Canis lupus familiaris: one gene and its partners. The protein of the gene in region 3 interacts with the protein of the main gene of each other region in a pairwise test. Links are inferred from orthologs where the notes say so. Each region holds a gene or a part of one and is shown on either strand. Other genes may lie near its edges.

Evidence for each region.
Region 1: the proteins of RBBP8 (region 3) and RBL2 interact in binary tests that used the Homo sapiens proteins (3 or more experiments, as listed by UniProt). The link is inferred for Canis lupus familiaris from reciprocal best matches to the Homo sapiens genes RBBP8 and RBL2.
Region 2: the proteins of RBBP8 (region 3) and LIMS1 interact in a two-hybrid assay, tested with the Homo sapiens proteins (2 studies listed by BioGRID and IntAct). The two-hybrid records come from large-scale screens. The link is inferred for Canis lupus familiaris from reciprocal best matches to the Homo sapiens genes RBBP8 and LIMS1.

What each region holds. Positions count from the first base shown.
Region 1 is NC_049223.1:61,577,158-61,580,809, forward strand, and holds part of RBL2 (retinoblastoma-like protein 2), read right to left. Parts: intron 3,624-3,652; coding exon 3,493-3,623; intron 2,420-3,492; exon of another isoform or gene 2,342-2,419; intron 914-2,341; coding exon 713-913; intron 1-712. UniProt on the Homo sapiens protein: Key regulator of entry into cell division. Directly involved in heterochromatin formation by maintaining overall chromatin structure and, in particular, that of constitutive heterochromatin by stabilizing histone methylation.
Region 2 is NC_049231.1:36,276,656-36,280,867, forward strand, and holds the start of LIMS1 (LIM and senescent cell antigen-like-containing domain protein 1), read right to left. Parts: upstream 2,854-4,212; 5' UTR 2,785-2,853; coding exon 2,603-2,784; intron 1-2,602. UniProt on the Homo sapiens protein: Within the IPP (ILK-PINCH-PARVIN) complex, binds to F-actin, promoting F-actin bundling, a process required to generate force for actin cytoskeleton reorganization and subsequent dynamic cell adhesion events such as cell spreading and migration.
Region 3 is NC_049228.1:65,295,062-65,298,713, reverse strand, and holds part of RBBP8 (DNA endonuclease RBBP8), read left to right. Parts: intron 1-2,432; coding exon 2,433-3,333; intron 3,334-3,415; coding exon 3,416-3,539; intron 3,540-3,652. UniProt on the Homo sapiens protein: Endonuclease that cooperates with the MRE11-RAD50-NBN (MRN) complex in DNA-end resection, the first step of double-strand break (DSB) repair through the homologous recombination (HR) pathway.

The DNA of each region.
Region 1 (3,652 bases), on a different chromosome or scaffold from region 3:
CATTTTTGGGTACTTCAGTGAAAAGGGCAAGTTTATTGAAACAGTAATTCCATGCATTTTGCAATGTGAAGGAAGCCAAATTCTTCATGGCTAACATGCAATGAAAGCAAGAAATTATTATTAAAAGAGAGCTGCTGGAAAGAGATTATTTTTTTTTAAAGATTTTATTTATTTATTCATGAGAGATACACAGAGACAGAGAGAGAGAGAGAGATTGGCAGAGACACAGGAGGAGGGAGAAGCAGGCTCCATGCAGGGAGCCCGACGTGGGACTCGATCCTGGGTCTCCAGGATCAGGCCCTGGGCTGAAGGCGGCACTAAACCGCTGAGCCACCCAGGCTGCCCAGAAAAAGAGATTATTTTTGAAATCGCATTTGTTTTTTTAAGACTAGCAAAATCGGGGCATCTGGGTGGCTCAATCAGTTATGAGACCAAATCTTGATTTTGGCTCAGGTCATGGCTTCACCAGTTGTGAGGCTGGGCCCCAGAGTGGCCTCTTCACCTGCCTCCTTGCCTCCTTACTGGGCAAAGAGCCTGCTTGAGATTCTCTCTGCCCCTCCCCCCACCTCACATACATATACTTTCTCTCTCTCTCTAAAAACAAACAAACAACTAGCAAAATAAGCGGAGGAGCACAAACTGAGAGATCAAAACTGTAGCACAGATAAAATATATGTATACGTATTCCTGACGAACAAATACAAAAACATACCGCTGTTTTCTTCCTCTCTGTTGACGGGGCTGCTCCTCTTGAGGATATTTAAAAATGTCCTGAAAAATGGGTTCATATTTCTTAAAAATTACCGCTGAAACAGTGAAGTTTCTTTCTAATCTCTCGGTACGTTCTCTGAAATGTGGGGGGAGATTTGCCATGTCTTCCCACTTCTTCATCTTGTTAAAAAATTCAATTAAGCTGATATTAAAAATAAAGAGAGATATTTTCAACATTAACAAGATAGAGTACACAAATGTAATTACATCAAAATTTAACTCATTAAGTTATATTACTTTGAGACAGTGATAAATATCACAACTCATGTCTCTGATTAGCTTCATCTCTTACAGACTGGTTTATTTCTCCGATTTTCCTAATCTGTTTTTTTCTGAGGTTATCGAAGGGTTTTATTTTTTAAATTATGAAATATATAAAAGTACAAAATAATTAATCAGAGTAATGTAACCGACACTTATGTACCCAACTGCCAGATTTAACAAACATTCACATACTAAATAAATTTTGCCGTGTTGGCTTTAGGTTCTACAGAAACTGCCAAATTCCCACTTTGTCCTCCTTCCCAAACTCTCCTCTGACTGCTCTGCCTCCTCAAAGATCACCACCATTCTAAAGTTAGTCCGAATCCTTCCCATCCATGTTTTTATACTTACTATCTAATGTAGTTACAATACAGGTCTACATGTATCCATAAACACTATGTAGTATCTTTTGTATGTGTAGTTTTAAGATTTTACATAAATAGTATCATACTATATAAGTGGCATTCTGCAACTTGCTTTTTCATTCAGTATTTCTGAAATTAACATTGATACATGCAGATCTCCTTCATTTTAACTATTAAAAATATTCTTTAATAAATAATAGTGAAAGGGAATATAAGGGAAGGGAGAAGAAATGTGTGGGAAATATCAGAAAGGGAGACAGAACGTAAAGACTGCTAACTCTGGGAAACGAACTACGGGTGGTAGAAGGGGAGGAGGGCGGGGGGTGGGAGTGAATGGGTGACGGGCACTGGGGATTATTCTGTATGTTAGTAAATTGAACACCAATAAAAAATAAATTAAAAAAAATATTCTTTAGTATGAACTACCATGATTTTTTGCATTGGTTTCCCAACCAATGGAAATTGAGGCTTCTAATTTTACATTCTGACCAAAAAAATGCTGTAATCAATACATCCTTGTAGATGTATGTAAGAGCTTCTTTAGGAACCACACCAATAAGTAGAAGTGCTAAGTCAGAGACTGTGCATCTTCAGCTCGACCAGATATGGCTGAATTTCCCATTTAAGTGGCCATGGCAATTTATACTCTCACCAAGTACATCAGCAACATAGAGCTCCCATTTCTCTGAATAATGACCAAATAATGACCAAAGGTTTTATCAGACTCCAAATTTCCCCAATTTGAAGAGAATGACAGTTACTTTGTTTTTTACTTTGAACTTCCTTGATTTCTAGTGAAATTGAGCGTCTTTACATATATACTCACATATAGGTATGTGAGTTTTGACCTTTGTGAAATCATTCTTTACCCACTTTTAGTAGTTGTTTGTCAATCATGCAACCATTTGTTACTAGTTCTTTATATAATCCTGGATACTGACCTTTTCAGTTATACATACTGTAAATATCTTCTCCCAATATACTCTTTGTTTTTAATCCATTTTAGTCCATTATGGCAGTAAATAATCTGAACCCAGAGGTAAAAATTTAAAGATAGAAACTGAGTTTTTAAAATGGAAATACAACTGAAGCCTAGGACTGTATTACTTGCATTAAAATATTGGGTAAGTTCAATTTACTATTGTTTATGATGAAGATTCTATAATTTGACCTTTGCTTCTAAAGTTCCTTATCTGTCACTTAACTGGATTACTCTGCCTCCACTTTTCGTCTCCATAATGATTTTATTTTTGCACCTTATTTAAGTCCACTTATGCAGGTTTACAGCCCAGGTATTCAACTCTTTATGCACTGCCTCTTGTCCTTAGGCCTAAATATAACTCAGGATGGAGCTCAAGGTTAAGAAATAGACTACAGCTAAAATATTACATTTCTTGTTAATTAGTCTAATATTGATCAGACTAATTAAGTGATTAATTAGTGATTTTTTAAACTATTAGGTACATAAATTTTGACAGTGGTATTCTCCCAACAAAGTGCCAAATATCCTTTTTCCATCAATCCTTAGTGAATCATAAAAGAAAATTCACCCAAAAGGCATAAATAATAATCAATTCAATTATACAACAGATAGAAAAACGATTTCTTTCTGCCTCTTCTTTAAAACATCATTTGACTCTTCCAATAATCATAATACTGTTGCTTATCCCTCAACGAAAAGGAGAGGTATTTACACATTCCATATAGTAAAATACAAATTCTGTCCATGCAGTTCTAAGTTTAATACTGTATTTTATTAACCTTTGCAATTTAGAGTACTTCCTAAAGTTTCTCAATATCCTTATTTAGAATTCTCCCAACACTGTGCAATGGTAAATCATAATGTTTAACAGCAAACTCTTTATAAAATTGCCTAACACATTAAAATTTCAATAGTTTTCGCCAAAGAAGTATAATATAATAGATACTAACTTAGATGTGGTAAAGGGAAACCATGACCTAGTTTCTAAATTCAGCACTCTATAGATACAAACACCCAGGAGATAATGAACAAAGAGAATTCTTACTAACACTATGATTTTGGGGCTTTCATATTTGTCATTCTCTAGTTTTCAAACTCTGATATAGTTACCTCTGCTCTGAACATCTCAGGATTCTAGTTAAAGATACATAGTTTCCTTCAACTGTCCCTTTGCTTACAGTTGGCACAGATTTTCTGCAAGCCACATATAAGGCACATGCTAACCAGTGAAGATCATTTCCCTGTAAAATAAAAGAAAATTGATGTTTAG
Region 2 (4,212 bases), on a different chromosome or scaffold from region 3:
CTGCACTTCCCCTTTCTCCTAATCAAAATCTGCAGGTGTCCCTGGATGAAGTATGGTAAACCAACACCTGCCCTAATATCGTTTCGAGGAAAAAATTTTTAAAAAGTATATAACTCTGAAAGCCAGAAGATGCTACCCAAATATAAAGGCATCATTATTAATTTTGAATCCTCTCAAAAGATTCACCAGATCCTTATAATTTTCACAGAACTCTCAAAAAGCAGGAAGAGAAGGACATTCTGGAATATCCTGCTCCATTATCTAGATCAAGTAGTTCTCAAAGTATAGGGGTCACTGTGACCCATTTAGGGGTTCAAAAGGTCCTTTTTCCACCTGCATCTGTGGGAGGCCTATTTTCTTTGTATATATATCTAAGGCAACATATAACACTAAGATAAATGCAGAAACAGAACTGAGAAACTGTCTTAGACTGTCATTAATGAAGATTTGAAAATATGTAATTCAATGCCACTTTTCCCACCAAACTTTTTTCATTTTGGAAAGAGTTATTTTTCATAAAAATTAACACTTATGAATAAATGCATAATGAGTTTATGTATCTCAAATGAATACATATTTAATTTTGTTCTTAGTTTGTATTTTCAGTAAATATTGATAAGCAAAAGCTCTCTGCAGACCTCAATACCTTTTTATTATTATTTATTTATTTATTTATTCATTCATTCATTCATTCATTCATTCATGAGAGACACAGAGAGGCAGAGACACAGGCAGAGGAAGAACCAGGCTCCACGTAGGGAACCCGATGCGGAACTCGATTCCAGGTCTCCAGGATCACGCCTTGGGCCAAAGGCGGCACTAAACCGCTGAGCCACCTGGGCTGCCCTTAAGAGTGGAAAGCAGTCCTAATATCAAAGCATTTGTCACCTGTTTCCTACTCATTGTACTAAACACTGTTTATATTCTAATTCAAATACTGAAATAGTGAGAAAATAGGTAGACAGTTTCTCATACACAGGAAAAATAAACTAGCTTTGGAGATAATATGTATTTTTGAAGAAGTATTCCTTTTAATAACAAGCAGGATAAGAAAAGAAACTACATTAGAGGAAACTTTCAGGAAAGAACCCCTAATAATCTCACTAACCTACTGAACTGTTTACATTAACTTTCCTTTCTTGTCTTTGACCCTCTGGCACTATATATTTCTTTCAATTGACTGTTTTTTTGAGCAGTTTTAAGTTTACAGTGAAACTGAGGCAAAAGGAGTCGAGTTCCCCTTCATCCCCACGTGCAAGCCTCCCCTGCTACCAACATCTCTACCATAAACGTAGTCTGTTATGACTGATGATGAATCTACAGTGACCTATGCATTTGTTTATAACTGTTTTTATATATAAAAGTTACATTTTAGAAGTCATGAATGATAGTTACAACTGTCATCTGGCTAGTTATAATTAGTCGGCTAATTTTTCAAAAAAGGATTTTTGCTAAGAAGTATTGATGATAAAGAATATATATGTTGGGAAATATATATGTAGAAGCCTTTAGTACAGAACCTTCACATTTGGCCAGTAATAACTGATTTACCCAATCCACTTCTACAGATGAACCATACACAGAAAACTTGGTATCACTGGGCTTTTTTTCAAGTGTCTCACTGTTAAAAGTATGTAAAACAAATTTGCTGGCATCAAAACGAAAAAAATGTGTAAATCCAAAAAGCATCTTAAGAGTCCACAGAGCATTTTGGTTACAGTATAATTATAATTGCCCAATTACATTTATTTTTTTTTTTTTTCCCCATTACATTTAAACAGAACTCTTTATAAGTCGTGAAAACAGAGGACATCTGTTATAATACCACACATAATAGATTAATGGAAATAGAGAATCAGGTCAGTTAAATTCCCCTTAACTCATGATTGACAAATTGAGGATTTGCAGTTAATTCTAAGCTTATGACTTTGCGGAAGATCAACAATCTTCCATGAGTCTAACTACTACTTTGCACTACTTTTTAAAATTGTTTGCTAAAACTCATTTAATAACATGAATTAGACTTTTTAGAGTTAATGGCATATATATGGCATATATATATACACACACACACACACACACACACACACCTATATTTGCTAAATACACAACATTCTTATTTATTGATTCAATCCCCTTAAGACAATATTAAGAAATCCAGTTTGCCTACCTCAAATTGCTGTTAAACCTAACAAAAATGTGTATCTTTATCAACAGTCTGTAATTCAGTTTTACTGTTTCCCTCAACCAACTTGTCATCTGTGGGAAGTTTAAGAGTATACAATCTTTCTATTATAAACCCTGCCAGCAGCAACTCTAAGCCTCCCCCTTGGACTACATAATGAAAATGTACTATTATGAGGAACCTACTGAACACAAAGACATTACTACTATTACTTTAAAGGCAGCATTTTCCTTTACTTCTGCATCTCATCTGGTGTATCTCCCCGCCTGCTGGAATAGGCCTCCCTCCCCTCCATCACTCTGGAATGCCCCTGCTCAGAGTCGAGGAAATAAAACTATCAATGGCTACTGAACTCAAAGCCCAAGCAGACTAGATCTGGAAGATAGGAGCTCCTCTTCCAGGAGAGGAGACACTTACAATTTTGCATAAAAGTCACAAAACTCCTTGTAGACCTTTACGTCACTGTGCCTGCGCTGTAATTTGGACACAGCCCGCTCGTCTTCATTGCCATTAGCCTGGTGGACACTGTTAAGGACTGCCTGGGGGATTTCTTCATTCTCTGGGATAACACAAGGGTGCACCCTGCCCGGGAACGCCATCCCAGGGTGCCTGAGAGCTCCAAGCCCGGGGCAGAGAGTAGCAGGGCAGGGGACGGAGAAACAATATCCAGGCCTCCCCTGCTTCCCTGCCAGGGTCACTCCCACTGTTCCCACACACGTCAGCCCTGCGTTTGCCAGGGTCGCTCCTGGCCCTTCATATTAAGAGCTCTAACAGCAAAGCAGTCACTTGCTGTGCCAGTCCTGAGTTTTGAGGCATTTCTGGAAGCTCTAGAAAACATTCCCCAGAGCAGTGACACAGTCTTTGCTGGAGCAGCCTTCCCGGCAGACTGTGTCTGTAAACACTGCTTCAGAAATAGAGGACTGGTTGGCAGGGTCCAAGAGAAACAAACATCCACATGCCCTGGGGGATCTGTCACCAGGCATTATCCACATGAACACTGTGGTTCTTGTAAAACACCCTCAGATATTGTTTCTAACAAGCTCCCCACTGAGGCTAACGCAGCTGGCACACACTGGGGGACATCTTAATGCCCAGGACATGCTTGTCAGCTATGCCCATGGCTATCTTTCACCAAGGATCTGTGAGTCCCTAAGAATTTGGAGCTACTTTTGACTCTTATTGATCCTAGCAGTTGGCACATAGCAAGAGCTGGATGATGTGTTCAATGAATGGACACGAGGAAATAGGAAAGAGTTGGGCATCTAGTTAGAAACCCTCAGCTAATCCTGGTCTTTATTATGGTTAAAGATGCTGCTGGCATTCCTGCTATAGTCAGTCCACATTGCTGTCATCTTGCAGCAGTACTGCAGAAGAGGAGGGTGATGATGTAGGCCATGGGCAATACAAGGGCTCAAAACATTTCTCCAGGAACAGTCCTCTGAGCACCAAGGTGCCCTCCTAACCAAAATTAAGGTACCAAGGACCACTAAAGAAAGAAACACTAGAGATGAGAGCCATGAAATCAACAGCAAACAAACAGACAAAATGCAGCTGGGACTTCCAAGTAACAACTAATAAATAATAATGCTATGCATTATGCTCATTATTGCATCCCTTATAAGGTAGGTATTATTTACAGGTGAGGAACTGAGATTCAAGGAGGCTGAATAACCCAGTAAGTACGTGGTAGAGTCAAGATTTAAATCTAGGGAGCTTCATCCTAGAGCCTATGTTGTCAACTACCATGTGAGAAAATGGTTAAACACAATCACTGGAGAACAAAATAAGTTAACTAGAAAAGATTAAGTAGTAGGTACAAATGAGATAGAAGCCCAAAATGAGATCTAGTCTTCCCTCTTTGAACCCTAAAGATCTCAGAGTACAAGTCAGAAATTAAAAGGCTGTGGGCTACGGATCCTCCCCAAGCCCCAAGCCTGTGGCTAATGCAGTAGGAAAAATCATCATTTTTAAATAGGAAAGAAGTGACCTCCTGGTTGAAATGGTGAATGAGATCTTGACATTTACAG
Region 3 (3,652 bases):
CAGATACTCAACCACTGAGCCATCCAGGCGTCCCTTAATTTTTATTTAAAAAAAAATTTCCCAGGGATGCCTGGGTGGCTCAGTGGTTGAGCACCTGCCTTCACCCCAGGGTATGATCCTGGAGTCCTGGGATTGAGTCCCACATCAGGTTCCCTGAATGGAGCCTACTTCTCTCTCTGCTTGTGTCTCTCCCTCTCTCTCCCTATGTCTGTTTTGAATAAATAAATAAAATCTTCAAAAAATAAATAAATAAAAATTAAAACTTTTTTTAAATTTCCCCATGAGGTGCCTGGGTAATGAAGTCAGTTAAGCATCCTGGTCTGGATTTCAGCTCAGGTCATAATCTCAGGGTCATGGGATTGAGCCCCAAGTCAGGTTCCATGCTTAGTGGGGAGTCTGCTGGAGATTTTCTCTCCTGTACCTCTCCCCTCCTCACAATTGTCCCCCCCTCAAACAAATAAATCTTTATATATTTTTTCCCTACTTTATGATGAATTGAGGGCCTTTTGCATTGCTGTAGAGAGAAAGATATTATTTTTTAGGTTTTGTTTTTTTTTTTAAGATTTATTTATTTATTCATGAGAAACACACAGAGAGAGGCAGAGACATAGGCAGAGGGAAAAACAGGCTCCCTACAGAGAGCCTGATACAGGACTTGATCCCGGATCCCAAGATCACGCCCTAAGCTAAAGGCAGATGCTCAACCGCTGAGCTACCCAGGCGTTCCTCTTTCTGTTCTTCTATCAAGCATTATTTAAGTTTCAGCCTTGTTACTCTACCTCTATAAAGACCCAATCATCCCTTCTGTGTTTGTATTTCCAAAAACTAGGTGTTGTATAAAATGCATCTATAAGCTTACATTAATTTTTAAGATTGTGTTGCAACTCATTTACTAACTTCAGAATATCTGCTAACTAGTAATACCTATATTTATGTAATACTTTAGCTTTCTAAAAGTGCTTTTGGTTTTTTTTTTATTTTTATTTTTTTTATTTTTTTTATTTATGATAGTTACAGAGAGAGAGAGAGAGAGAGAGGCAGAGACACAGGCAGAGGGAGAAGCAGGCTCCATGCACCGGGAGCCCGATGTGGGATTCGATCCCTGGTCTCCAGGATCGCGCCCTGGGCCAAAGGCAGGCGCCAAACCGCTGCGCCACCCAGGGATCCCTGCTTTTGGTTTTAGATACATATATTTAATTTGTCATCAAAGTAACTCTTTTTTTTTATTGGAGTTCAATTTGCCAACATATAGCATAACACCCAGTGCTCATCCCATCAAGTGCCCCCCTTGGTCCCCGTCACCCAGTCACCCCCGCCCACCTCCCTTTCCACCACCCCTTGTTCGTTTCCCAGAGTTAGGAGTCTCTCATGGTCTGTCTCCCTTTCTGTTATTTCCCACTCATTTTTTCTCCTTTCCCCTTTATTCCCTTTCACTATTTTTTTATATTCCCCAAATGAATGAGACCATATAATGTTTGTCCTTCTCTGATTGACTTATTTCACTCAGCATAATACCCTCCAGTTCCATCCACGTCGAAGCAAATGGTGGGTATTCATCGTTTCTAATGGCTGAGTAATATTCCATTGTATACATAAACCACATCATCTTTCTCCATTCATCTTTCGATGGACACCGAGGCTCCTTCCACAGTTTGGCTATTGTGGACCTTGCTGCTATAAACATCCGGGTGCAGGTGTCCCAGCAATTCACTGCATCTGTATCTTTGGGGTAAATCCCCAGCAGTGCAATTGCTGAGTTGTAGGGCAGATCTATTTTTAACTCTTTGAGGAACCTCCACACAGTTTTCCAAAGTGGCTGCTCAAAGTAACTCATTAAAGTAGGTTTTATTACTCCTATTTTTTAGTCAACAGAAACACAAGTCCACAGAGGTTAAATGCCTTTTTTAATACCATATAGCTGTTAATGACTAGAGCCAGAGCTCTTGCCCATTCCACATCTTCAAACTTTAACCCAATACTCTTTCTACTATCAGCTGTCTACTCTGCTAAAAGGAGGCTCAGTCTTAAGTTATGTTCAATTCTATAGTATAAGAATTTTGTGTTTTGAAGTTACTTATGATGAGATTTCATATCAACAAAAGAATTTGAGTCTCCAGTGGAATTTATTAAAATATGATTTTTTTATATGGTGAAGTTTAAATATCTTAGGAAAAATATTTATGGATAGGAATATCAAGGTATTAAGATATATTTACTGTATCATTTCTCTCTGCCTTTTGTCAGCCAAAGGAAGAAAAGCTGACAACTCTACCCTATCTCAAATGTTGGTTAATCATGAGTCTGATACATGGCTAAGACCCTTACTCTTAATAATTCTGTTTTAGTGTAAGCTTTCTCATATGCTTGTCTTAGAATGTTTATCCTATTTCTTTAGTAGGAAGAACGTTTTACCACTCCTTATTTTTTTTTAGATTTTCAGATTCTAAGTCCAGGACTCCTCCTCAAGAAGAATTGACTGCTCGGGTATCATCTCCTGTATTTGGAGCTACTTCTAATGTGAAACGTAGTTTAGGCTTGAATACGAGTTTATCCCCTTCTCTCTTAGAGACTGGGAAAAAAAACCTCCTGAAAACAGCACCCTTCAACAACACTTCTACTTCTAGATCAGAGAAAACCAGATCAAAATCTGAAGATAGTGCCCTTTTCACACATCATAATCTTGGGTCTGAAGTGAACAAGATTATTAGCCAGTCATCTTCAATTAAGCAGATGCTTATCAGTAAAAACATAAGTGAATCCAAAAATGAACAGGATAGTTTTGATCACATTAAAGATACTGTCAATGATAAAGAAAAACATGCAGTGCCCCTGAAATCATTGGGAAGCAGGACATCCAAAAGGAGGAAAGTTGAAGAAGAAAGTGAAGACGAACTAAGCTGCCCCCAAGGCTCTTTTGATAAAGAAAATGCTTTTCCTTTTTTACTGGATAGTCATTCTTCCATGAACGGAGGAGACTATGTAATGGATAAACCTCTAGACCTGTCTGATCGATTTTCAGCTATTCAGCGTCAAGAGAAAAGCCAAGGAAGTGAGACCTCTAAAATCAGATTCAGGCAAGTGACTCTCTATGAGGCCTTGAAGCCCATTCCAAAGGGCTCTTCCTCAAGCCGTAAGGGCTTGAGTGGGAGCATTGTGTTTACCAGAGATTCCCCAGAGGAGCCCTGTTTACAGGAGTGCGTCCTCCAGTCCTTGGAGAAATCATATCCAGATAATAAAACACCATTACAAATCAAGGAAGAAAATCCCATCTTTAAAATCCCTCTACGTCCACGTGAAAGTTTGGAGACAGAGAATCTTTCCGATGATGTGAAGGTTTGTGTTAAATGTTCAAGTACTTTTATTAAAATTATTGCTCATGATTTCATCTAGATGCTAATAATTCTTTCTGTTTTAGGGAGCTGATTCTCACGAGCCAACAAAAATAGCCAGGTCGGTCCGTGGAGCATGTGAACTTACATCCGTTCTTCAGTTAAATCCATGTAGAGTTACTAAAACAAAGTCTGTACAAAACAGTCAAGGTATGTTTAATGGAAGTAGTATTTCCAAAAAAGAAAATAATATTTCCCCTCTTTTTTTAATGGCTTTGAGTGTTATACTATATATATTCTTTGGCTATATTGAATTGTTTTAG